7 linked regions of the Oryctolagus cuniculus genome follow. The protein of the gene in region 2 interacts with the protein of the main gene of each other region in a pairwise test. Links are inferred from orthologs where the notes say so. Each region holds a gene or a part of one and is shown on either strand. Other genes may lie near its edges. The genes, in order: LDOC1; SDCBP; PYCR3; EIF5A2; PTS; ANP32B; cytochrome c oxidase subunit 4 isoform 1, mitochondrial-like.

What was found.
Region 1: the proteins of SDCBP (region 2) and LDOC1 interact in binary tests that used the Homo sapiens proteins (3 or more experiments, as listed by UniProt). The two-hybrid records come from large-scale screens. The link is inferred for Oryctolagus cuniculus from reciprocal best matches to the Homo sapiens genes SDCBP and LDOC1.
Region 3: the proteins of SDCBP (region 2) and PYCR3 interact in binary tests that used the Homo sapiens proteins (3 or more experiments, as listed by UniProt). The two-hybrid records come from large-scale screens. The link is inferred for Oryctolagus cuniculus from reciprocal best matches to the Homo sapiens genes SDCBP and PYCR3.
Region 4: the proteins of SDCBP (region 2) and EIF5A2 interact in binary tests that used the Homo sapiens proteins (3 or more experiments, as listed by UniProt). The two-hybrid records come from large-scale screens. The link is inferred for Oryctolagus cuniculus from reciprocal best matches to the Homo sapiens genes SDCBP and EIF5A2.
Region 5: the proteins of SDCBP (region 2) and PTS interact in binary tests that used the Homo sapiens proteins (3 or more experiments, as listed by UniProt). The two-hybrid records come from large-scale screens. The link is inferred for Oryctolagus cuniculus from reciprocal best matches to the Homo sapiens genes SDCBP and PTS.
Region 6: the proteins of SDCBP (region 2) and ANP32B interact in binary tests that used the Homo sapiens proteins (3 or more experiments, as listed by UniProt). The two-hybrid records come from large-scale screens. The link is inferred for Oryctolagus cuniculus from reciprocal best matches to the Homo sapiens genes SDCBP and ANP32B.
Region 7: the proteins of SDCBP (region 2) and cytochrome c oxidase subunit 4 isoform 1, mitochondrial-like interact in binary tests that used the Homo sapiens proteins (3 or more experiments, as listed by UniProt). The two-hybrid records come from large-scale screens. The link is inferred for Oryctolagus cuniculus from reciprocal best matches to the Homo sapiens genes SDCBP and COX4I1.

What each region holds. Positions count from the first base shown.
Region 1 is NC_091453.1:119,608,529-119,611,998, reverse strand, and holds LDOC1 (protein LDOC1), read right to left. Parts: upstream 2,109-3,470; 5' UTR 1,745-2,108; coding exon 1,304-1,744; 3' UTR 501-1,303; downstream 1-500. UniProt on the Homo sapiens protein: May have an important role in the development and/or progression of some cancers.
Region 2 is NC_091437.1:83,752,945-83,756,878, reverse strand, and holds the start of SDCBP (syntenin-1), read right to left. Parts: upstream 2,801-3,934; 5' UTR 2,661-2,800; intron 1-2,660. Other genes in the region: uncharacterized protein, read left to right, coding at 2,866-3,203. UniProt on the Homo sapiens protein: Multifunctional adapter protein involved in diverse array of functions including trafficking of transmembrane proteins, neuro and immunomodulation, exosome biogenesis, and tumorigenesis.
Region 3 is NC_091437.1:167,534,439-167,538,683, forward strand, and holds the start of PYCR3 (pyrroline-5-carboxylate reductase 3), read right to left. Parts: upstream 2,801-4,245; 5' UTR 2,800-2,800; coding exon 2,640-2,799; intron 1,473-2,639; coding exon 1,408-1,472; intron 1-1,407.
Region 4 is NC_091435.1:109,418,971-109,422,470, reverse strand, and holds part of EIF5A2 (eukaryotic translation initiation factor 5A-2), read right to left. Parts: intron 2,232-3,500; coding exon 2,100-2,231; intron 1,531-2,099; coding exon 1,471-1,530; 3' UTR 1-1,470. UniProt on the Homo sapiens protein: Translation factor that promotes translation elongation and termination, particularly upon ribosome stalling at specific amino acid sequence contexts.
Region 5 is NC_091432.1:104,171,589-104,175,665, reverse strand, and holds the start of PTS (6-pyruvoyl tetrahydrobiopterin synthase), read right to left. Parts: upstream 2,801-4,077; 5' UTR 1,330-2,800; coding exon 992-1,329; intron 1-991. Other genes in the region: BCO2 (carotenoid-cleaving dioxygenase, mitochondrial), read right to left, coding at 4,030-4,077. UniProt on the Homo sapiens protein: Involved in the biosynthesis of tetrahydrobiopterin, an essential cofactor of aromatic amino acid hydroxylases. Catalyzes the transformation of 7,8-dihydroneopterin triphosphate into 6-pyruvoyl tetrahydropterin.
Region 6 is NC_091432.1:201,785,877-201,790,045, reverse strand, and holds the start of ANP32B (acidic leucine-rich nuclear phosphoprotein 32 family member B), read right to left. Parts: upstream 2,801-4,169; 5' UTR 2,443-2,800; coding exon 2,389-2,442; intron 1-2,388. UniProt on the Homo sapiens protein: Multifunctional protein that is involved in the regulation of many processes including cell proliferation, apoptosis, cell cycle progression or transcription.
Region 7 is NC_091434.1:149,299,163-149,301,679, forward strand, and holds cytochrome c oxidase subunit 4 isoform 1, mitochondrial-like, read right to left. Parts: upstream 1,083-2,517; 5' UTR 1,068-1,082; coding exon 501-1,067; downstream 1-500. UniProt on the Homo sapiens protein: Component of the cytochrome c oxidase, the last enzyme in the mitochondrial electron transport chain which drives oxidative phosphorylation.

The sequences.
Region 1 (3,470 bases), on a different chromosome or scaffold from region 2:
CAGGCAATAAGGGTTAAGGGACAGAGCTTCCCTGACAGTGTTAAGGAACCCAAAAGACAAGCAGGGCTCACACTGGGGGCTTCACAAAGTTCACTGAAAATGTACATTATTTTAGTTCCATTTTCCCATGGACTTCATGAAGCCCCTTCATGCATGTGTCCAGGTTTATACGCTTGCTGTGTCACCATGATTAGTAATAGCATCCCCTTTTACTCTCAAAAGTGTCCTGGTTTGGGATGATGAGCCACATGCTCAGCCACCCCTTACCCATGCCACCCTGGAGGCCCCAGAAGACATTCCGTTTGGGCTTTAAGCTATGCCTTGGTAAGGGAAGCATTGGAATATTTTTAAAGCCCCGTGGAAACTGTCCTCTGTAGCCTAGAGATGACAATAGGGACCACTGGGATTGAATTGGACATCAATGGGAATAGCAGGAGTCAGTGTGAGCATGGCAGATGCCAGTGATAGCACTTAACCATTAAAAGACAATCATTTCTCACTTTTTGTAGTGCTTGATATTTATTGAAAATAATGCCAACTTTTTTTTTCCAGGTAGTATTGAGGAGCTGAGCTTAGTGCGTTTTTGCTTTTTGTTTGTTTTGTTTTTAGAAACATATGTTCAACCACACACATTGGTGGGGCTGCTGCAATTATGAAAGAAAAACGACAGTTGTGCATTAGAGAAAAGAGACATCAACAATTTGGTTGCCAGGCACACCAGGTCCCCGCAGCACTCAGGCTGGGTAGAGGACCCTAGGAGTAGGTAGGGAACTAACCAGGTTGAAAAACAGCCCCTTGAGGGGCCGATGAGCTGTCCAAATCAATGTCCGAAAAGGTGTAGCCAAGTCAGAAGTCTTCTGTGTTGGTCCTTGTCTCTAAAAGCGATGATCTGTCAGAGGCTTGCAGTGGGCGATGGCGCAGTGGTAGCATGAGTCTCTGTGCAGGTGTAGGCCTGGCAGCGAGGCAGGTGGCAGCAGCAGTGTGATCTGAGCAGTTTGTAACAGGGGCCTGGCCTATAACTGGGGCTTATGACACAGTTCAGATGAGGTGGGGAGAGGTCCTGGGGCTAGGCAAATCAGATGACCGGCTTCAGGGTGAGGCCCCTGCCCAGCCCCAGCAGCAGGTAGCTGGAGCACTACTCCTGGAACAAAGACAAGCACTTCGGGGGTTGGGGAGGGGAGAACAGGAAGGCAAGGGGAGTGCAGCAGCTCCGGAGGTCGGGTGGGATGGGGTGGGGGTGGAGGAGAGGGAGAAGTGGCTGCGTGCAGGGCTCTCCCCTCATAGGCCCCCAGCGGCTCGGGGCCTAGTAATCATCCTCTTCATAGTCGTCGTCGTCGTCTTCGTCATCATCCCAGCCGAAACACTGCTTCATCTCATCCAGGAAGGCCCGGTAATCGCCTAGGATGGGGCTATCCATCTCGATGTAGGGCACCACCCACTCCTCGGCTTCCCCGGTCAGGAGGCTGATTAGGAATGCCACCTTCATGGCGTCGTTGCAGAACCGGTTCTCGTTCACGAGCATGTAAGACGCCGTCTGCACAATAAACTCGGGGAGCCGGGAGCTCTCGCCGTTAAACGTTTCAGGGAAGGGCACCGGGCAGCTCGGCGGACGTACCTGGCGCAGCAGGCTGGCCCTCTCGCAAACCAGCAGCCGCAGCTGTTCCATGAGCTGGCTGTTCTCGATGCTCAGGGCGCGGTGCCTCACCAGCAGTGCGTGCAGCAGTAACACAAGCTCGTCCACCATCTCGAACAGCTTGAAAGGTCTGGGCTCGCTCGAGTAGGCTCCGCTGGGCCAAGATGCACACAAGAGGCCTTGCAGGAAGTGCGTGTCCTATAAAGTGCTGTGGCCAGGGGCGGGGGACGGCGAGCGTGGGGTCCCGGCGGCTGCGCAAGCTCCGCCCCCGAGGCCACTCAGGCAGGCGGCGCGCCGGCGCAGCAAGGTGCGGGCGGGGCCGGGGAAGAGGCCAGGACGCAGTGGGGGCGTGGCCTGGCTGCCGCGAACCGTTGGAGGGGACTTGAGACCAGGGAGGGAGTGGCCGGGGAGGGAAGCGCAGGGTCGCGCAGTGTCGCGGAGAGCAGACAAGTGCTGGCTCGCTAGGAGAACTGGTAAAGGCTGTGAAATGGGGCCGAGCCCCGGATGTGAGGCCTGCGTTAGCCTAGGGCCTGGCGGGCACTGAGCGCCATGTCGCAGACAGCCGACTCGCACAATTCACTGTTTCGCGGGTCTGCAAACGCCAGTTTCTTGGGTGCGATGTTTTGTTGATAGGATTAATCGCCTTTTCAAACCTCCCCTAGAGAAGTACTGACGCTGCTGACTGCCCTGCTGCAATCACCGATCCTTTCAGAGTCATAAAGACTCTTAAGGGGTCCGGGCTTTCGTCGCAAAGCGGTATTTGAACAGGGACTTTTATTTAGAAACCATTACTAAGTGTTGAAAAAATTCTGAATAGAGGCTTATAACAAGTTCTGCAAAGTCACCATCTGATAAGCGCTTAAGGTGACCTCCCTGTGTGGCTCTGTTTCACGTCCTGATATCAGAGCCTGTGGCAATGGTTGTTATTCTTAACAATGAGGAAACCATGAAGACATTTGTGCTCTTTAATGTTTTTTTCTATTTGAATGTGAATATTCAAATAGTTTTTGACAACGAATGCAGCCCTCTTTGTCACTTCTACCATTGCCAGACCGCTAAAAGCAATCACTTTTAGCTTGCTTTCTTCTCTTCCTACACTCTGTTCTCTATAGAGTAGCTGTGGGAATCCTTTAGCGCAGAAGTCAGATCCCTTCCCTCCCTGGCTCAAAACCCTCCAATAGTTTCCCCTGTCACTTAGAATAAAAAACAAAGTCTTGACCATGCCCTATAAGGAAGGCCCTGCCTACTCTCCTAGGTCTCCCATTCCCAGTTCTGCTCTAATCACACCCCACCCCCTGCTGATTCTTACACATATCAGCTAATTCCAGCCTCAAGGCCTTTGTACTTTTTATCCCTCTGAATTGCAAAGCTCTTCCCAGTTAGAGGCCTGGCTCCTCCCCTTACATTCCTACAGAACTTTCCTGAGCACTCCGGTTCTCAGAGCGCCCTGTTCTGTGCCACCCAGTCTCTAACCCCTTACCTTATATGTTTCAATACAGAACATTTATCATCATAATCCTGGCCAGCACATTGTAGAGCACTTTGTTCATCATCTGCCTCCACTGTAGAATGTAAGTTGGTGCAGAGAGAGGCTTTGTTTGCTAGCTGCTTTATCTCTAGTGCCTAGAAGCCAGCCTGGCCCAGAGAAAGGTCTCCATTAATGTTTGGTGAATGATAGCATCTCAAAATGCAAATGTTGAGATGAAAACTAGAAATGGTGGCTGCACAAAGTGTCCAAAAGGATTCTTCAAATTATGTAGTGCAGCTCTGATGATGAAATCAGTCATAATACAAATAACAAAATTATTTTTTAAAGTAATCTCATTCACTCTTTACA
Region 2 (3,934 bases):
GCTCTGGCTCCTGGCTTCCGATCAGCTCAGCTCCAGCCATTGCGGCCATTCCGGGAGTGAACCAGTGTATGGAAGACCTTTCTCTCTGTCTCTCCCTCTCAGTCTGTAACTCTACCTCTCAAATAAATAATTAAAAAAAAATGCTGTCCATTTATCTTCAAAACCAAGAAAATTTAACATTTTTACAATTAAATTATCAAAATTTCTAAAACAGTATTATCTCCTTTCACTTAGACAAATTCATGAAATGGCATAAAAATGTAAAACGTGTTCACTGGCCTTAGACGGTAAAAAGTGATGATGATGATTTCTAGCATGCTGAGGGTAAGATTCAGTATAGTTCCCATTGGTATTGAGGAACACAGTTAACGAAGTCCTACACTTGGCCAAAAGGCAGAGAAGCAATACTTGATAAAGCCCTAAACAATCTTCCAGAGACTGTTTCCCAAACTTGGCCAATCATCAGATTAGAATCACCTGGGGCATTAGTTAAAAATAGCTTCCCAGGCTGACACAGATTTCATGGAATGGACTTAAGAACTCTTCTTTTTAACAAATATCCAGGGGGATTCTGCAGATCAGCCATTGAGCAATCCAGCCACAGGAAGTTCCCATTCTGACTTACAGGACTAGCAAAAACCCAGTTTAACAACACTTGCTGATGCAAGGCTTTGAGAAACACCTATGCATCACCAGTTTGGGGAGTGTAAAAAAAAAAACACACAATTTTCATGAACAATGGGTGCCCGGTATCTATGAAAATTATAAATTCAGATTCCCTCCCACCCGGTCATATAACTTCAAGTCTTCAGCCTAAATATACATTTGCACAAAGGAAGCAACATGCACAAAACTAAGAGTTCCAAAATACTTTGATTGGAAAATAAATGCATGATGTACAGCAGTATATAAAGTATTTTAATTGGCTCATTGAAAGGAAAGAAATATATTTGGACATTCGCCTGCACAGGAATAAAATCTCTGGACGAAATCCAAGAAACTGAAAACAGCGGACAGCCTATCATAAAGTAATACGGTTGGCTAGACGACACAAACAGGAGATTTTTAAACCGGATACTGTTTTAACTGTGGCAGTCCTGAGTCAGTGACTGCCTACCTCCTCAACGAGGAAATAAATTAAAAAAAAAAAAGTTGGCAGCACTTGGAAAGAAATAAATGACAATATAACTATCAGGTGTAGGAACTCTTTCAAAGTTGCTTGGGGGAGTCTTTTCACAGTCTTTTGGCATTTACCTTTAAAAAGTTCCCCAAACTCAAAAAAACAGGAAAAACAAATAGTTGAGTAACTCTTCATTTCAAAGAACTGTTTTAAGTACATTCAAGTGTCAACCATCAGCAAATTATTTCCCCTTCGTTCCTGATTTTTATAGTTTCTTATAATACCCAAAACAACTAAAATTAATGTTGCCAGAGTTAAATTTGAACTAGGATGAGGTGACCATTCACTTAACTTTTTAAACGTCATTTCCTTTTGTTTATTCTGTAACCCAAACCACTTGGTTTATGTACCCTTTAAGGCACTAAAGTTTACAGAGCTGAGTAACAGATTAGGTGAAAACAATTTTTTTTTCTATTTGCACTAAACTTCAAAATAGGAAACTGACCAGATTAGACAAATTTGAGTTCTCATTGATCACACAGACTTTTAGAAATCAATCTAATTAGAAGGCCTGCAGCTGCGTTTCGACTTTCCCTTTTTAATCCAACAGTTTTCTCTTTAAAACAAATGGATGTTTAAGAATTTGGTAAACTGAATGTACTTTCTAAGTAACGTCCTTAACGGGAAGAAAAAGAAAAAAAAACCTGGTAAATTTTTAAGCATAGAATACAGTCAAACCAGGTAACCCTAGAAGGTCCTTTCAAAAATCACACAACAGAAGACGCTAATGATTCCGTAATCCCAGCGCGGTGAAAGGAAAAAGTTTCCATATCCACACTGCCTGCACTTCCCCATTATTCCAAGGAAATCCCGAAACGAAAGCTCTGAGTCACCAGATCTCAAAGGAAATACGCGTGTTTCCTTCCGAACACACCCCACTGGAAACGTTCTTCCCTCGGCTCCAACTTCTCCAGCACCCGGCGCGGAGCCGCGACCGCTTCCCCACCCCCTCCACAAAGTCAAGGCTTCGCCCGCGGAACAAACACCGCCCTCTCCCCTCCCGGAGCCCGGGCGTTCCTGGCGAGCCACCGAGGAAGGTGACTGAGTACAGCCCCAGGAACGCCGAGCACCGGGAGGCTCCGTGCCCAGCGGCTCCTTCTTCACCCACCTCCGGAGCCCCTCTCTCGAGGAACAACAAGGGTCCAGAAACCCGTCCCGGAAAGAGAGCCCAGAGCCGCGCGGGGCTGCGGGCGCCGCCAAGAGCGGGGGCCTCGGGGTTCCGTCCACCCCACCCGCGGTCCGGCGGGACCCCGACTCCGACGGAGCGCGCCGCTCCCGAAACTTCCCTCCTCAGGCCCAGCTGGGGGCAGGGAAGGACGCGCAAGCCCCCCGAAGAGCGGGCGTCCTGCCTCCGCCGCCTCCCGAAAACCGCTGTGACGGGGGCGCTTTCCGTTAAGTGGCCCGAGCGGTCCACGTCCCTTGTCCCCCGAGCCCGAGGTGTCGCGCGGACGTCTCCCCCTCGTTCCCAAAAGCTGCTCACCTAGACCACAAGGACTCGCTCGCCGCCGCCGCCGCCGCCGCCTCGATCACTGATGCCGACTTCCGAGACCCGAGAAAACGAGAGCGGCGCGCGCCCGAGGACCGCCCGCCAGGCGCGTCACGGCACCGCCCCCCCCCCCACGGGGCCTCGGGCCCGCGCAGGCGCACGGCGCCGGGTCAGGTGATCCGGTCCCCGTGGAAACCGGATGGCGGGGGGTGGGGCGGGGCCATGGAAACGGGGGCGGAGCGTGGGGGGCTCTCTTCTGGGGTTCCAAGGGTCACAAACGTCTGGCCGCCCGCACCGCCCACCGTCGGGGGCGCCAGACTGCCCAGCGAGGATGCCCAGTCTGCCCTCTGCGGTCCCGTCGCCTTATGCTCAAGGAGACCTCGGGACCCGCTCACTGCGTGCGTTCCCCCGCCTGCGGTCACCTGGTTGGCTTCTAATACAAAGAGGTACCGAGAAGCCAGCCTTCCTCTTGGAAGGTTTTCCTTGCCCAGCTTCCGGCTTCCGTCACTGCTGTCCAGCAGTCACAGTACCCTGCTGGTAAACTCCTCCCAAGACCCTTTCTTAACTCCTGCCCCATTTATCTGGGTTTTTTGTTTGGGCTTTTATTACTTTTAACGTTTGTTGTTAAAGAGGTGTAATATTGTGCAATGATAGCTGTAGCCTAACACAAAAACTTAAAAACTAGCGTTTCTTGAGTGCTATGAGCTAGGCATTATTCCAAGAACTTAATGTATATAATCTTATTTAATCTTTACATCGAACTGTAAGATAGGTACCAACGACCCATTGCAGAGTAATCAGTTACTTTGAAATACCAGAGCCCTTGACAAAATATCATTAATTTACAAGAAGTTTATTGGTAACTAATAAAAATCTGGGCACAGAAGTGATGACCTGTAATAAAGTTGCCCTTGGGGAGCTTATAGTTTAGCTGATGTGAAAAACATTTAAAAACAATCACACAGTAGCTTGGGAAGGGAACACTTTTTTTTTTTAACATGATTGTGATAAAATTCCTAAGAACTGACTCATACACACAAGCTAATAAACAACTGTAGCAAAGCTGCAGGGTATGTTGCTGAACAACCCCGAAGTTGCTATAGAACCCCCAAACCTGGGTCCGCTTGCCTGATACGCAGAAAGCCAACCACTGACATTGGGGTGGCAGATGAAAATAGGTATGTACTGCTAAGTGCAGCGCGAGGAGCTGGACAAGCTGTTGCTCAATTTCCAGGCTCTCAAGCACTTAGAGGTGAAGGTTCTCGTAG
Region 3 (4,245 bases), about 84 Mb from region 2:
TCTAAACTTCTGTTTCTCTTATCCCCGCGGCTTCCCGGCGGCGCCCGCCCCGAGGCTGCTTCTCGGCACCTCGCCCCGCGGCAGCTTCACGGCTCTGCGCGGCTTCCCGGCGCCTCGCCCCACCGGCGGGTTCCCGGCTCTGCGCGCACGCTCCGCAGTCTCCACGCACTTCGCGCCTGCACCACGGCCTCACGCCAGCCCCGCGTTCCCTATCTATTCACGCCCCGTGCTCTCTCTGCACGCGGCGGCTTCCGCGAATGTTTCCGCCACCATCGGCATTCAGTCCAAGTTCCCCGGACTAACCTGGCGAATTCCAACCTGGCGGCCCACGTCTCTGCCTCTGGTTCCAGATTTTCGCCTCTTGCTCCCCGGGCTGACTTGAAGAATTCCAAGATGGCTTCCGTTTCCACCTTGGCCTGCACTTGCGGCTTCATCCTCCCTAACATTTTTCTCTACCCGGTATGTTTCCCTAAGTTTTCTTCCAACAATATTCCTCCCTCATTTCTCCTGGCCTCTCCCCACAGTCCGTATCCAAGTCTAAGTTTCTTATAGGTTTCACTTTCACTTTCAACCTGCAGTCCGTATCTGAGTCTAAGTTTCTTCTTGCTTTCACTTTAAATCCTAACTTCTTTCCCACAGTCCGTATCCGAGTCTATGCCTAGGCTTTCAATAGCTTCTTCTGGCACCTTTTTCGTCCGGCTTTTCCCTAGGCTGTTTGCTAGTCTCTCTCTCTGGCATTTTCCACTTCTTCCCGTTTCTTCCCTCTTAGGTATCCTATCCGTCCTAAGTTTCCTATCCGTCCTGGGTTTCCTATCCGAGTCACGGCACCACTATGTCGCTCCCCCTCTTCATGGAGGAACGACACTAAGCCCTGCCTAGGCTTCCTATCCGAGTCACGGCACCATTATGTCGCTCCCCCTCTTCGTGGAGGAACGACACAGAACCCTGCGCTGTTCTTTCGTCTGCTCGGCCCTCCCCGGGTTTGCTGCTGGTTCTTCCCGGGTTGGCTACTATCCCTTCCACCTCCGTGGAAGGGCGGTTCCCCCTGCCACATTCCCCACTTCCGCAGGGGAGCGGCACACCGCCGGCCAGCTCTCTCGGGGGCTTCTCGGGGGCTGCTCAGGTGTTCCTCAGGTGTTCCCCTTAGATGTTCCTGGTGCATGTTGTCTCTCTCCTCCTTTATAGTCCTCTTCCACCAATCCCAACTCGGCTGCCCACACGCCGAGTACGCTGCTCTCCTCCAATCAGGAGCAAGTCCTACTGTTTATTGGTTGAACTGGAGGCAGCTGGGTAGAAGCTGTTTTCTCCTCTCCCAGCGCCATATTGTGGGAGAGCAGGTGCATAGAATAAGTCTTAATTCGAGTAACTTAGTCTAGTCCAGGTTGCTCCCCACACTCGTCCACTCACCCGGAAGTGGCAGAGGTTCCTGTCTGTCGGTGCGCTGGCCATCACATGCTGCGCTTCCACCTTCCCTGGAGAGAATGGAGAAGGCAGAGGGGGCGGTGAGAGGGTGGGAGGAGTCTGCTCCCCCCGCCCCGCCCAGCCCTGGCCCCTAGAGACTGGGTGATGTCCCGCCCGCCTGGGGCGACACAGCAGGTGCACTGATTTCATGGGGCAGCCACCGCCCCCTGCCTGCTGCTGGACATAGGGGCCAGGAGCTTGGCCTGTCCAGTGAGCACACGGACCCCAGGGGCTTACTGGCCGGGGCAGTGGGGAGGGCAGCACAGTACGGTGGCCCAAAGGGAGCACCAGGCCAGGGAGTTGTCCTGGTTCTGAAGGCACCTGACCACAGAAGGCTCACTGGGGCCAAGCTTCCCTGGAAGGGGGTGGTGGTGCTGGGATGGCCACGTGGCAGGGAGCTGGGGAGACCGGGCTGAACAGGAAGACAGCCCATCAGCCCCTGGACACAGCCGGGCATCAGGGTGGCCGCTTGGGCTCAACATCTGTGACAGCGGCTCCCGGAGCCCGTGGAGCCGGGGAGGCAGGTGATCCCCGAGACCTGCTGGGCGCTCTCCCGGCTGCTCCCCACTCCTCTGCACCATGAGCTCTGGCTGACGAGGGCAGAAAGGCAAAGGTCGCCCCTCCCGGTGCCCGCGTGGCAGGTGCAGCTTTCCAAGCTCTGGGAGGGTGCGCGGGCGATGCCCCCTCCCCCCGCCCAGGAGACACCTGGCTGTCCGCATCTCCCGACAGACAGCCGCCGGGGATGCCCAACACCCTAGGGCCGCAGACGTCCACAGGACTGAGGGCGCACAGACGGAAAAACCAGCCTGGGGCTCAGGAGGGTGAACCTCACCCAGGCCGTGAGGCCAGGAAGCGGGCCACGCGGGCCAGCACCGTCTCCAGGAGCCGCCCACGTAACCGCACTTCCAAAAGCGGAGGAGACGGATGGAGCTAACCTAAGAGCGCTCTACGTGACAGCACGTCCAGGCACGGTGCGGAAGCGAGCCACGTCCTCGGCCTGCCTCTCCCCTCCTCTCCCCTCCCCTCCCTCCCCGCCCCTCTCCCCAGTCCTAGGTCTACAGAACCCGGGAGCGCCGCACTCCGCACGCCAGCCCGCGTGGCCGCGGACAGCCGGCTGTGCGCCCGGGAGCGCGGTCCGGAGGGGACCCGCGGGCGCCCTCCCGCCCCGAGCCCGCTACCTGCTCGGATGAGGCCCCGCGCGATGGCCTCCGCCATGCGGCCGGCGCCCACAAAGCCCACGCGCCGCGGAGCCGCCTCCGCCGCCATCGCCGCTGCCGGCACTGGGCCCGTCCCCCGCGGCTCATTGGCCGAGGTCGCCGGAGAGCCGCATCCACCCATTGGCTGAGCGCCGCGGGGGGCGGGGAGGGGCGGGGCGTCGCGGAGCAGGGCGCTCTCCGCCGCCGGTGGGTGGGTCCGGGCGACTGGGCTTCCAGGAAGGGCCACCCGCTCGGAGCTGGTGAAAGGCCCGCGCGCGCAGACCCGGGAGCCCCGAGCGCCCGCGTCAGCCGGCTCCCGGAGCCGGGGCCTCCCCGCTGCCCTGGGGCGCAGGAGCGCTGGGCGAGCCCGGGGCGGGCGTCTGCGTGCCTCAGCACATCTCGGGTTGTGGGGGTCTCACCCGCCACCCGGGCTGAGGCGGCGAAGGCGTTCTGTGGTCTCTGAGCCCCATGACGTCCGCCGCGCTCCGCACCGGCGAGCCCCACCCCCGCATCCCTTCCGAACCGCAAGGCAGCGGCCGGACGGGTGCACCTGTCCCTCACGCCGCGGTCCACTGGGCTGTGGCAACAGTCCCTCCGCAGCCAACACGCACGCACACGCACCCACGAAGAGGCACGCGTGTGCGCATGCACGCATCCACAGAGGCACACCCACACAGGCACTCCTGGGCGCACACACACCCATCCACGCAGAGGCTCGCGTGGGCACCAACACACGTGACATGCCAGTCTCACCAAGATTCGAGAGCAAACAATGCCGGGGAGGGAGCGATGGGGACTGGGAGGCTGCTCCGGTCACTGCAGCCGGAAGGTGCAGATGCTGGACAGCTGGGCCCACAGTGCTGGCCCTCCCTGCTGCTCTGGTCTGGCTCTGCGCCTCTCCCCGCGTTCACACCGACTCTCGGAGGTCGACAGCTAAGGGAGGTGGGCAGAAGCTCTGACAGCCGGGGTCACGCTCCTGGCAGGTGGGCAGCAGACCAGGCCCAGGGAGAGGGTCCCTGGGAACCAGCGTTTGAGTGGGGACGGGAGAGTGGGGCAGAGGCTGCAGTGACATGGCCGGGAGGGACAGCAGGACACTGGGACCCTCCAGGGCTGCAGCCCGAGCACCCAGTTAGAGGGCGATGGAAGCAGTGGGCTTGGTTTTCTAGGAGATGGGATGGGTGGGGCCACGGGCTGACCCCCCCAGGGAACTGTGGTCTGGATGCTTTGTGCCAGTGTGAGGTCGCCCTGCCCACCTGCAGCCGTCCCTGCTGCCCCCTCTGTCCCTGCTCTCCTGGCTTCCTGGGACTGCGATGCCCTGGGACAAGGACTGAGGGACACGGCAGGGACCTGTAGCACCCAGCCCCGTGTCACAGTGGAGGACAGGAGCCGGCTGCCTTCGGTGAAATGAAACAGATAAGGGCCACCAGTCACAGCTGTGGGGACAGGACCCAGTGGCCCAATGCCAGCCGCCCTGGCAGTGGGCAGCTCCGCTCCTGTCCCAGCCGTCCCTGGCAGTGAGCAGCTCCGCTCCTGTCCCCACCGCCCCTGGCTGTGGGCAGCTCCGCTCCTGTCCCAGCTGTCCCTGGCC
Region 4 (3,500 bases), on a different chromosome or scaffold from region 2:
ACTGAGTCAATGATCCTCACAAACTCTCTAACAATGCCTAAATGTCTGGAAATAACACACATGTGACCCAGAAGATTACAGAGAAAATCAGGCTGTCACCTAAAACACCCTTTAACATAATTCAGTTCGCTTAATTCTTTCCTAGTTGTATTTCATACTAGTAATTGAATTAAGTCATATGACCAATCAGAAAACAAACATGTTTAAAATAATTTTTGCACATCAAGTAAATTTCTTCCATGATTCATTTTCATTTCAGTTCAGAGAAATATATATGCATTTAACAAATATCCCAAATCAAGTTAAATAAGGATTTCCAGTTTTTGTCTAACAAATATTTTAATGTTAAAACATCTAATGAAAAGTGGTTGGTAAGCAGTAATTGCTGATAAATGGCAACTCTAATTAACAAGGTTAAAAGAAAGTGCTGCACAGTATCTTGTAAACACGGGTCACCACTTTAAATGTAGGGTTGCAGGTGGTGCTACAAAAGTTAAAAGTAAAACCATAACTAAAAACAACTTTGTTTTACTATGCTGATTACAAAGGCTTCAAATAAAAACCTATAGCTTTAATCAAACCCCTTTGCCACTGTCCTTTTTGTCTTCTTTACAGTCTGACATGCTCATAAGTGGACACTTCAAAAAGTTTGTGGAAAATGGAAGGCTGTTTTGGTGCAAAAATTTTTGAAATCCTATGCATAGTTTTATCATAATACATATTTTTCATGATCTTTTGATTTGAAATTTTTTTTACAGGAAAATAAACTTACCTTTTAATTCCACTTTCCACGAACTTTATGAAGTCGCTGTGTATTCACCCAACAATTTAATGCCCATGTTAACCACAAGAAGGTACTAAAACCACCATATATGGTTATTTCAAATTTGCCAACCATTTGGCAAAGAACAGTATGACTGAGCGAATACATGTGATTGCACATGGCCACCAAGATACCTGTACTTTTTGATAACATGGTTTTTGCTTAAAGATTTTTTTGCCAGAGGTTGAAACTGTGATAATTTCAATTCACTTTTACATGGATTCTTTACTATTAAGCTTGAAATTAATGCCGAGCAATTCACCTTAATGTGGTATTGTAATATCACTATATGTTACATTGATTTACAACCCTGGTTTATTTTGCATTAACTAAAATGCAGAAATGATTTTCTCATACAAATCACATCTGCTGAAGCTACCTTGTCTGTTTCTTGGATTCACAAACTGAAAACCACAGGAACATTATAGGAAAGACACCTACAAAGTTAAGACTAAAGAATTATACATCTTGATTATTTTCTTAAATTGCCAATTGCTTACTAAACTAACCCAGCACAATGTCAAAACAATAAAAAAAAATGAGGTGGCTTATGAAGGCCATAGCTTTGGTGACAACTTAGAATCAGACTTTAGATCTGGAGCTGACCCAGACCTAAACAGTACGCTCAGGCCTGATGTCCCCCCTCTTTATTTGCACGGCTTTATGGCTACAGCATATTCTTCACTCATTGCACACATGACAGACACCTAGAAGAAAAAAATTGCAGGCAAAAAGTTATTCAGAAATCAATATATAGAGATCTATTTAGTTCCTCATATAATGTGTACTTGTGGATATTTCGTGTGTACTGATTTTGGAAAAGTTATTTGAAAACAATCTACCTTCTTGACAGTTTTCTAAAGTAGAAGTTTTCAAACTTCAGCTGTAAAACAACATCTAGGGAACAGGGAGAGTGAGAGCTGTACCTCAGCACTTACTAGATGCTATACTTCTGAAAGATGCAGCAAAGACAAAGTAAATCTCTCACTTGCTAGCACTCCCCCAGTTTGCTTTCTTATAGCTCAGATGCAGATCTTCAAAACAAACTGGGGATTGACATAGGCTATACAGCAAAAATGAACTTTGATACTTTCTTTGGTAATGGGTCTCTAAGGGTATCTTGGAAAAATCACCTTATAGAGATAAAAATTTTAAACACTTGGCAGGATTTTTAAATGGCATTTGTATTTGGTATTTTCTGCTTACTAGTTAGGACAGTTTTTTTTTTTTCAGTTTTTATAAAACGGATTAAAACAATTTTCTCCTAGGTCTTTACCTGTACATCTTCGCCTGCATTGTATTTGCCTTCTATTTCTTTGCCTAGTTCACCTTCTGGCAGTTTAAGATCCTCACGAACTTCACCAGTTTCTGTCAGCAGGGAAAGGTAACCATCCTGAATGCATATCAGCTGTTAGAAGACATCATAGCATTTGCACTGATTAGACTATACCCATTCCTTTGTAAGGCTGGCACGATTAAATTGCAGTCAACACTAATTTGTATAAGTACAGAGTAATATACAGTAATATATTCTTGGTGTATAAAAATGCTAAAAATAAAAGAGTATAAAATACACACAGAACCCAAGTATTAAGTACACCATTCACTGTACTCACTCCTCCCTTCCCAGGCTCAATCTCTGTATTATTAAACAGTTTAGGTTTCTTCATGGTGTATTCTAAAGCATTTACTTTTATGTGCACAATATACATATGGCTACTTTTGGAAAAAAATGGGACAGCACGAGTATTTTTTAGTAAGCTATTTTCACTTAATAGTACATCTTAGAAATCTTTCAAAATTAGAAAACCACCACACAACTACATTCCTGTAAAATGAATAAACAATTGCATGACTATACCGTAATTGAATTAATCATTTCCCATTAATAGGCATATGAATATTTTTTCAATTTTTCATTATTACTAACAATGCATCTTATAATTTGATTATAAACAGTTAAGTGGAAAATTTTTGTTTTCTAGCTTGTTGCTTACGATAGTTTTTTTTTTTTTTTTAAGAAAACCAAAACCAAACACCTAGTTACTGATACATTAATGAAACAAACCCTAGTCATCAATCTATACTGTGCGTAAGTACAATTTTGATATAACTGAATTTCTTTTATTATAGGAATGGAAAACATGTATTCTAAAAGCACATCCACTATCAGTATGCCAAGGATTCTGGAAGGTTTTATAAAATGCAGGTGTCCAGAATACCAGGGGCTAACATACTTAAGGGGAGTCAAAGACATGGTCCTTGACCCCAATTAGCCCATGAAATAACCCAGGCATCCTATTGGGATAGTTTCTAGAGTTCCACACTCTCCTCTATGTACACCATCTACCAAATCTGCCTATGGTTTTCCATGAACACTCCAGCCACCGCAGATTTGAGTTTTTGCACATGGCTAAAATCTAAACAAAACAAAACAAAACACAAAAACAATCATTCAGAGCAACAGCAGTCACTGTTAATTCACCTCTTAGTCACTCAAACATTTGTGAGGTGGTGGGTAGAGGAGGGAGGAGCAAGGAGGTTGAGATAAAATAGTAAATTTTTTTAAATTAAAAGAAATATATTTTACCTAAGTTAGGTAAGTTTCATATATTTCCTTTATACCATTTTAGGAATATAGTGGCACTTCTCTCCCTATCCTTCCTCCCCCTCCCTC
Region 5 (4,077 bases), on a different chromosome or scaffold from region 2:
CATGGGAGACCGGAAGAAGCTTTCAGCTCGTGGCTCCTGACTTCGGATCGGCCTTGCTCCAGCTGTTGTGGCTATTTGGGGAGGGAACCAGCCCATGGAGGTGCTCGCTATCTCTCACGCTCTCTCTCTCTAACTCTACCTTTCAAATAAATCTTTTAAAAAAGAAATGACAGAAATAATTATCCTAATTTCTCAGACAAGAAAAATGGGGGCTGAAAGTGGAGCTTGCTAGTGAGCACTAAAACTCTCCTCAACTCTTAAGTAAGGGGGGGGGGGGGGGGACACATCCCGTATCATCGACTCCTCTGCTTTCCATTCAGCTTCCTGCTAATGCACGCTCTGGAGGCAGCAGGTGATGCAAGTCCTTAGGTCCCCACAGGAACGTTGGGTCCAGGGGTGGAGGGCCTGGCTCCTGGATCCTGGCTCCTGGGTCCTGGCTCAGCCCTGGCTGTTGCAGACATTTGAGGAGTGAACCAGCGGATGGAAGGGGCTCCCTTGCTCGTGCTGTGTGTGTGTTTCAAACAAAATGAAAATAAAATCAAACTTGCCTAGGGTTCAAATCTCAACTGCGCTGCAGGTTTAGGAAACTGAATATATAAGCTCATATTAAATCTGGTCAAACGTGCCGTGTAATTAATTCTCCTCGACGCACAGTAGCTGTGCTCATGACATATTTTGGCCAACTTGTCAAGTACAGGGTGATCTGGGCGAGGTTAACTCGCTGAACTTCACGGCCGCCCTCTGAGAGAGGCACTAAAGCCCCCGGCTCCAGAACCCAGGGCGCCCCCCTAGTCAACCGGCCCGGTTACCCAGCAGACCCCTCGGTCTGCTCTAGCGCCGGGCCACGTCACTGAGCGGCCACCCCGCGGTCGGCGCGGCCCCACCCAAGGTCTCGGGCGCGCGCACGTAGGCACGCCTCCCGGCCCCGCCCCCAGAACGCTCTCCGGAGGGACCAGTGCCCGCCTCTGGCCACCTGTGGGGCCCTCCCCACCTGTGCAGCCGGTGGCTCGCGCTGAAGGAGACCAAGCGGGACACCCGCGCCCAGCGGCGACCGCCCGAGCCCGCCGTGCTCATGGTCTTCCAGGCCCACGCCCTCAGCCGGCGCCGCTTCCCTCTGCGGCTGCGCAGTGCGGGCTCGTGCTGTCTCCGGAAGCGCGCCCCGGTTTGGGCTGCAGCCAATCCCGGCCTGGGGAGTTCTCCGCCCGCCTGGCCGCGTCCCTCGCGCGCGCGCGCTCGCTCTCTCCGAGTAGCGGGAGTTCGATGAGTTAGGCAAACCTTGGAGCGCGCAGACAGCGTGGGTGGGGACTTGGTGTCCTGAGACCACGCCATGCGGTTAGGGCCGCCGTGGGTACGCGGTGGGTCCTCGAGTGACCTCGTTGAACTTCCTCTCCCGCTCCTGGAAAGCCTTGGCTCAGTTAAAATGGAAGACTCCGGACACTGCCTGTTCTTACCAGGTGCATCCTAGGACCACCGTCTACTTACAGCATAAAAGGGGCAGGAATTTGAGAGCGCCCGTAGGACCACGTGGCGTTCCCTCTCGTTGGACTGGTACTGAGTCCAACTAAGGGGACTCCTAAAGCCGTCCTCACCATCCCCCAGTGTGCATGGACCCCAGGTATCCCTGTGGGTTGGTATAGTGTGAACACGCAACCATCAACACGTGTAAGCATCTCTCTGGCCAGTGAAGACACCCTGGAAGGAGAAGATCCCGTTTCCTCACATCTACTCACAAAGAAGGTTCACAACGTGTCCCCTCTTGCTTCCATTCATTCTTTGATTAAGTATTTATTACACACCTACCATGTGGCTAGCACTGCAGCAGGCCCTGGGGAGGAGAACTTGGCATTGTCCATGACAAAAAAAAAAAAAAAAATCAAATGAAGAGCAGGATAAGTCGTTTCTTGTGCATTAAGAAAAGGAAAATAAAATCATGGGAGTGGTAGAAATATAAGGACTGGAAAGTGAGGGATATGGGGGCTACCTTGCCAGCACATGTCCATCTGGGAACTTTATAGCGACTCTTAATAGAAGCCAGCCTTCTGAGACAAAGGAGCGAGCACAAAGCTAGTAAGTGTTGTATGAGTGAAGTGGGGACTACATCTAAATGGCTCTGATCTCAAAGCGCGGAATGCTAGCAGGACTATTGTTTGCTTATCTTCTTCAAGAACTTTGCAGAAGGCAGGGCCAAGACAATTCACTGGTGATTTCTCTGAATTGTTTCCTATCTCTAGCTACACACACAGGGTCTTCAAAAGTTAATAGAAAATGGAGATTATGAAAATGAAAAAAAGAAAAGCATGAATTTGAAAATTTTTTCTACCAATTATCTTTTAATTCTATTTTTCCACAAACTTTTAAAGTACCCTCATATTGTTTGTTGTGCATTAAATTATTAATGTCATGTAGACAAACATTTTCAAGTATTTGTCTCATGTCCCTCATTGGGTTATTTTTAAAAAGACCTTTAAACAATTATAAACCTGGGGCCAGCACTATGGTTCAGGTTAATCCACGGCCTGCAGCACTGGTATTCCACATAGGCACCAGTTCAAGTCCCGGCTGCTCCACTTCTGATCCAGCTCCTTGCTAATATGCCTGGGAAATCAGCAGAAGATGGTCCAAGTCCTTGGGCCCCTGCACCCACGTGGGAGAACTGGATAAAGCTCCTGGTTTCGATATGGCCCAGCTCTGGCCATTGTGGCCATTTCGGGAGTGAACCGGCAGTTGGAAGATATCTCTCTCTGTCTCTGCCTCTCTCCCTCTGTAAGCCTGCCTTTCAAATAAATAAATAGAGTTATAAACTTTTATAGATTGTTGAGATAGATACTACTTCATTCCTCTCACTTAATAGATAAGAAAACACAGGCCCACGAATTATTTATCCAGGGTCACTCAGAATAGAAACAATATTTCCCAAGAATTGATTATATTAGATAAATATTGTCTAGAAACCATTGTTACACAAACATTTCTCATTCCAAAAACAGTTTAAAGAATCAGAAGGTGAAAGGACAGAAGATATTTCTAAGAAGTTGCTTAGTCTCCTACTAAAATATTTCATTGCATATGCAGAGTTCTTATGCTAAGTTGTCTTATTAAAGGTAATCCTATTTAAAGATACTCACCAATTTCACTCTCTGGTCATCACTGATCATTTATGGGTTATGGATTGAACTGTGTCCCCCTAAGAAAAATTCCTATGCTGAAGTCCTAACCCGAAGTACCTGAGAATGTAACTTTATTTGGAAATAGGGTTATCAACTGGTGCAGGGTTGGAGTTCAGTCAGGAGGCAAGGGTGTTACTGAAAGGAAAGGGAACAAAGGATTTTGAGGGTGTGGGCAGGAGTGTGGTTTAAGTGGCAGCTGAAGGTAGCTGCTTCTGGCTATTGGTGAAAACTGGTGAGGTTTAGAAATATAGAGATTATGTGGTCTCTAGTGCCACCTGTTGCCCAATTACTGGCTTTTCATCAGTCCCTGAAGAGCTACACACCTGAAGACAAAATGCCTGATTAGTGATATCCCTCAAAACAGCCTCCACTCAAGGCTGAGCTGGGGAAGGGGGAGTGGCTGTGGGTGGTCTGCAGGAGCTTGGTGCAGTTACAGTAGTGTCTGCTGTAAACAGCCAGTTTAGAAGCCTCCAGGGGTAAAGATGGCTGTAATGGAAAGGAGAAGATGTCTATGAGACCAGTACTCCAAGTCTGAAATTGCTTGTGCTCTCCCAGGACCTGTTACCTTACAGTCTGATGGTGGCAATGACCCAGTTTTAGTTTCTCTTTATGCATACTTACTATTATCTAAAGAAAGATATAGCCAATAAGTGTACATTGATACTCTGTCAACAGGTTGTATCAACATTTGCTTAATGATTTCAAGGAAAAGCCTCAAGAAAAGATAAAACCATAGTCGTCTCATGAATTCTGTTTTTAATAGTAATGTAAAAATCAAACGGTTTGGAAGGTTATGATGCCCTTTTTTCTCTCTTTTGTACAAAGCGTACTGATTTTAAATCTGGTTCTTGTGGTTATCCCATCAGATGGGTATGAAGGTGCCATGGAATCCGTAGGGTATTTGCACAGG
Region 6 (4,169 bases), on a different chromosome or scaffold from region 2:
AACGACTGGCCTAATTAAAACTTTAATAGTCACACGCATCTTGGCAAGGTGGTCAAAAACTAAACTGATTACTTGAAAAAACTAATACTTTCACACACACATATTTTTAAAGCTATACTGCTCCATATGAGAAAGGGCACCATGGACTGGGAACAGCAGTGGCACTTATTTAGCAGAGAAAACTACTTGCTCCGAGCGTTTTAGCAGGCTTTTGGTTTGAGAATCCAGAAATTTAGATTTTAAAGACCTATGTCTGGGCTGGTGCCGCGGCTCACTTGGCTAATCCTCTGCCTGCGGCGCTGGCACCCCGGGTTCGAGTCCCGGTTGCTTCTCTTCCAGTCCGGCTCTCTGCTGTGGCCCCAGAAGGCAGTGGAGGATGGCCCAAGTGTTTGGGCCCCTGCACCTGCATGGGAGACCAGGAGGAAGCATCTGGCTCCTGGCTTTGGATCGGCGCAGCGCCGGCTGTAGCGGCCATTTGGGGGGTGAACCAACGGAAGGAAGGCCTTTCTCTCTGTCTCTGTCTCTCTCACTGTCTGGCAGAAAAAAAGAAAAAAAAAAAAAAAGACCTATGTGTGCACCTTTCTTAGGGGGAATTTTGGCTAAATTTAGATACTGTATTGATTCCCAACTTCCAAGCAATAATGGAAACTCTGGCGTTAAGCCCTCCAGGTGAGAACGAGCTCTTCAAGGTGTCTAACCACGCAACACGCAGCACGTGGCGGGCACAAAATGTCTGACTCGACCCCGACACCCGCCAAAAGGCCACCCACCCAACTCGGGGTTTCAGGGCGCCACCACGCGCGCCCGCTGACCTCAAGGCCTGCAGGTAAACAGCCCGGTCGGCCGATCCCACCAAGTGTGCAACTTGCTAACCACAGCCACCTGAGCACCCGCCACGCGGCCTCCTGCCGCCAGCGACTCACCCGCCGCGGGCTCGGGCGGCCGCGCGCCGCCTCTCCACGCGGGGGCTCGCGCTCGCTGCGATACAAGAGGCGACGCTCCCGGGCCGGGCCCACGCACACGCAGCAGCGGCCCGAGGCCGGCCGCGGCAGGCCGCACCCTGGCACGTGCGGGGGCACAGGCCACCGCACGGCCCTGCGCCGGCCCCAAGACCGCGCGAACGCCCGCGCGCCAGGCCTGCCGTTGCCCTTTTAAGAAGGGGGGAGGGCGCCGGCAGCGCGCCCGCGAGGGGACGAGTCGGCTGCAGCCGTAGCGCGCGGCGACCGCCAGTGCGAGCCGAGCCCCGGCGGGACGGGACACACCGAAGGCTCGGCCCGGGAAAGCGCGGCGGGCGAGGGCGAGCGGGCCGCGCCGGAGCTCCGAGCCGCTCGGCCGGCCGCCTCACGCGGCGGAGGGAGACGGGCGCCCGCCAACATGGCGCTGTGGCGGCCTGTGGCGCGCCCGGGCTGGCGCGAGCGGCCGCCGCCCGCCCACACCGAGGGGCCAGCCTCCCGGGGCAGGGGCCCCCGGGCTCCGCGGCGGCGACTGCGACTGCGACGGCGGGGGTGGGGAGGGCCCGGCCGCCGCCACAACGCCTGCCCGTGGCCCGCCCTGAGGGGGCCGCAGGGAGGATGGCTGAGGGCGTCTCAAAGGAGAGCGAGGGCAATGGGGGAGAAAGTTTTATTTTTAGGCTTGAAAAATGGCGGGAACCGCGTCCTTTTTTCAAACTTGGCCTCGGGAGGGGCGGCGGTTGCGCCACCTCCGCCGCCCAGGCCCGCCCCTCCCCCGCTCCGCGCGCCAGGCCGCGCCCGCCCGGGCCCCCCAGCGCCCGAGGGGGCTTCTGGCCCCCTTCAAAGGAGCAGAGCCCCCTTGCTCGCCCCCGCGGCCCCTGCCCTCGGCCGGGCCGACGCCAACCGCGAGGCCCGGCCGGCGCAGCCCCCCGCCCTGCCCGCCGCCGGCTCCCGCTCCCGGGGCCGGCCCGGGGCGTGCGGAGTCCGGCGTGGCCGGCGGCGGGCCCAGCCGGGGATGGCCGCGCGGCTCCCGGGCAGGCCCGCCTCCGCCCGGCCGCGCATCCCGGGAGGCTGCAAACATGGCTCCCAGCGTTACACAACCCCCCGCCTCCTTCTCTCGCCGCCGGCCACACGCACACGCGCTCCCTCCGGGAGAGGACCCCGGCGGGCGAGGAGCTCAAAGTTTGCGCTCCCTCACCCCGTCGCCTTCCCCGGGCGGCCGCGAGGGCCCGCGGGCGCCAAAGAGTTAATCCCCGCGCGCTCGCTCCCCCCCTCCGCCCGCGCCCGCCCGCCCGCCCGCCTTCCCCGTCCCAGCCCGCGAGCTGCGCCCTTCCCCGCGCCGGAGCCCGCGAACCCGCGGCCCGGGGCCCCCGCAGGTGGCCACCATTACATGCAAGTCATCGGGGGGGAAAGGGCGCCCGACGGGGGCTCTGCTTACAGCTGCCGGGGTCCGGTTCCTCAGCTCCAGGTGGATCCTCCTCTTCATGTCCATGTTCCCCTCTTCCCCCCTCTTCAAACTTAACTTTCCGCGGCGGGGGCGGAGGGGGGAGAGGCGTCCCGGCCTGCGCAGCGAAGGCCGTCGGAAGGGGGTCTGCTCGCGGCGGAGGCCGGCGGCGCGGTCCCAGGCGGCGTGCGGCGTGCGGGCAAGGCGAGCGGAGCCCCCGGAGCCAAGTTACTCACGGGAGCGGAGAGAAACCATGGAGGGAAAAGGGGGCTGGAGCGCAGCGCTGCTCTCACTACCGCCGCCCCCGGCCGCGGCCTCGCACTGCGCTTAAACCGGCGACGCGGCGCGGCGGCTGCTCGGCTCCACTCGGCCCCGCGCGGCGCCGCTCGGCTCCGCGGCCGCGGCTGCTCCGAGGACGGGGCGGGGAGGCGCGGCGGGAGGGCGGGGCGGGGGCGGGGGGAGGCGCAGCCCCGGGGAGGGGAGCGACTTCCTCCCTCCCTCCGCCTGCACGTGGGGCGGCTGATGTAAGACCTTGCTCGGGGGCTTCTCCGCCTGCCGCCGGGCCGAGACCCCCGGCCCGCCTCGCTGTGCTCTGCGATGGGGTGGGGCAGGGCTGGCGGGAGGCCCTCCTGTCGGGGATCGGGGGTCGCGAGGGGCGAGTCGGTCCGCGGAGGCTCCCCCGACGCCCGCGGAGGCGCGAGATGGGCAGAGAACTCGGCGCGGGGGCCTGGGGGTCGCCCTTCCGTTCCACCCCCTCCCCCTGCACAATCGGGGGCCGACGGCCCGAACCCTGGCGCCTCCTGGGCCGGGTGGCGTCGGACGCGCAGCCCAGGACCCAGGGGTGGGCGGCATCGCGGCGGGCCCGAGCTGCAGCGCGTGGCAGCGGGCGGAGTTGGCCCCGGGCCCGGCCGCCTGCCTCAGCCTCAGAGCCGCCGAGCGTCCCCCCGCCGCGGAGGCTCTCCCTCGCTTTTCTGACATTTTGATGCCCGAGAGGACTTCCGAAGGAAACAATGAGCATTTCCGCGGGGCGGCGTGGGGGGTGGGGGGGGCCTCGCAGTTACACCGTTCTCCCCGCTCACGTCTAGCGCAGTTACAACCTAGGGCCCCCCGTGAGGCACGCCGAGTCTCGGTGGTATCCATTTTGGTGACGCCTGTCAGGCCGCCTTTGTCATGCTCCGGCTCCAGGGGTCCCACGGTTAGAGCCCCAGGTCCGGGCCGTAGAGTTATACTCAGCAGAAAGTAAATAAACAGCATGGTATGTGCAGTCGGATACCTTCTTATTTCTAGTGTGGACAAGAGGCAGTTTTTTACAGAAAAAACTCCATGCATTAACTGAGATAGTTTTATGGGACTGAAGCCCCTTCCCCCGTGGTTTTACCCAAGTGGCAGACTATAAATAGCCCAAACTTAGTTTTGAAGCAATTACATATCAGTTTTTATGATAATGAATTCTCATTTCAAGAGGACGTTTTAGAAGGATTACGGAAAGAGGCGAATCTTCCCAGTTGGGAGTTTCCTCCTCTCCTTGTAGTCTCAGCCACACAGCCGTGGAGAGGGAAAGTGGAGAGGGGTGTGCTCCTCGGGAAGGCACCTGGGGACCTGTCATTGGGAACCAGGCAATGAGGGCTTTTATCAAAAAATTACAGGCAGCTACCAAGCATGCACCTTTAGGGGCTTGCTACGTTCTTTCTCGTGTTATCCCCTGACAACCCTGTCAGGCAGGTGACCCTTTCATCATGTCACCGATGGAGAAGCGAGGCCCAGGAACCGCAAGC
Region 7 (2,517 bases), on a different chromosome or scaffold from region 2:
CCAGGAGAAGTACCTGGTTCCTGCCGTCAGATTAGCGCGGTGCACTGGCCGCAGTGCAGCTGCGGCGGCCATTGGAGGGTTAAGCAACGGCAAAAGGAAGACCTTTCTCTCTCTCTCTCTCTCTCTCTCTCACTGCCCACTCTGCCTGTCAAAAAAAAAAAAAAAAAAAAGGCTAAGTCTCCACCTGCAGTTCCAGCATCCCACAAGGGTATGGGTTCTGGTCCAGGCTGCTGAGCTTCCAATCTCACTCCCTGCTAATATGCCTGGGAATGCAGTGGATGATGGCCTAAGTACTTGGGCCACTCCACCCACAAGGAAGACTGGATGAAGCTCCTGGCTCCTGGCTTCAGCCTGGCCCAGCCCCGGCCATTGCAGCCATTTGGAGAGTGACCCAGAGGATGGAAGATTTCTCTCATTTCTTCTCTCTGTATCTCTGCCTTTTAAATAAATAAGTAAATTTTTTTGACAGTATATGTTTACTTCGGACGCCTGGGAGACATCTATTGTTTTAAATAACAGACGCTTGCATTTAGTTCTCGTCCAAGAGGACCTCGGGGACACGGGTCGTTTATTAGGACTGGCGCTGTCTGACGTGGGTTTCCTGTGCGTGCGCAGCGCTGCGAGTGTTCTGCGGCAGCGAGCTCTACTTCTTCCACCCACTCCTTGTCGAAGGTGTGCGGGATGGGGCCGTACACGTAGTGCTTCTCCCAGATCAGGATGAGGGCAGTGAAGCCGATGAAGAACAGGGCCGTGCCCACCACCGTCTTCCACTCATTCGTGCCCCAGTTCATCTCAGTGAAGCTCTCGTTGAACTGAATGTGATACAACTCGACCTTCTCGTCCCTGGTGAGGCTGCTCCAGGGGGCCTTCTCCTTCTCCTTCGGGGCCTTCTGGCTGGCAGACAGCTGCTTCACATGCGCCATGTCGGGCAGGGGGTAGTCACGCCAGTCCACGTAGCTTGGGAGAGCGTAGTCCTCGCTCTTCACAACGCTCCCGTGCGCCCGCACGCACACTGAGGTGGAAATCGCCCACCTGCCGACGAGGCTCAGCACCCTAGTGGCCAACATCCTGCCGGTACCGTCGACCCCTGCCTGCCGCGACAGGCAGAGTGGACAGTGATAGAGAGAGAGGCAGAGAGAAAGGTCTTCCTTTGCCGTTGGTTCACCCTCCAATGGCCACCGCGGCCGGCACGCTGCGGCCGGCGCACTGTGCTGATTCATCCGAAGCCAGGAGCCAGGTACTTCTCCTGGTCTCCCATGCAGGTGCAGGGCCCAAGGACTTGGGCCATCCTCCACTCCTGGGCCACAGCAGAGAGCTGGACTGGAAGAGGAGCAACCGGGACAGAATCCAGCGCCCCTACCAGGACTAAAACCCGGTGTGCCGGCGCCGCAAGGCGGAGGATTAGCCTAGTGAGCCACAGTGCCGGCCTTAAATAAGTAAATTTTAAAAAACATTTAGTTTACTAAAATTGAAAGTGACTGACCACTAAAAGATACCACAAAGAAAATGAAAAGACAAACCACAAAATATGAACATAATGAATTATAAAAAGACAAACAACACAGGCCGGTGCCGCGGCTCACTAGGCTAATCCTCCACCTTTCGGTGCCGGCACACCGGGTTCTAGTCCCGGTAGGGGCGCCGGATTCTGTTCCGGTTACCCCTCTTCCAGGCCAGCTCTCTGTTGTGGCCAGGGAGTGCAGTGGAGGATGGCCCAGGTCCTTGGGCCCTGCACCCCATGGGAGACCAGGAGAAGTACCTGGCTCCTGCCATCGGATCAGTGTGGTGCGCCGGCTGCAGTGCGCCAGCCGCGGCGGCCATTGGAGGGTGAACCAACGGCAAAGGAAGACCTCTCTCTCTCTCTCTCTCTCTCTCTCTCTCTCACTGTCTACTCCACCTGTCAAAAAAAAAAAAAAAGACAAACAACACAATGAAAAAATAGTAGATAAATGAACTTCACAAAAAGAGAAAGTAAATATCCATTATATAAAAGATATTCAACATAAGCAAAAATTATGGAACACAAAATTAACTCCAATGATACAGCATGTAGACTACTTTACTGACAAAATTAAAAAGGCTAATAATATTACAGTTGGTAAGCATATGGTGATAATTTTTTAAAGGTTTATTTATTGACACAAACAATTTGGAAAGTAATGGAGATACTCATTTACATGTTTGTACACCCTCTGTGAAAGTTATTTAACTCCATCTGAACTGAAAGAGCTCTTGCATAGGAGCCCTCAGTGAAATTTATGTGATTATTCATAGCAGTGTTATTTGTAGTAGCAGAACCCTGGAAACGCTTGAGTTACAAATCAGGAATATGAGAAATGTACTGTGATATACCCTGCAATGAAATACTATATAGCAGTGAAAAGAGGAGGCAGGTCTGCATAAAACATGCATAAATCATAAAGGCATACTTTCAAGTAAAATGTTAAGTAATAGAAGAGAAAATGCATAAATTAATATGAAATAAAATTAAAAATAAGATAAGCTAAACAACATGTT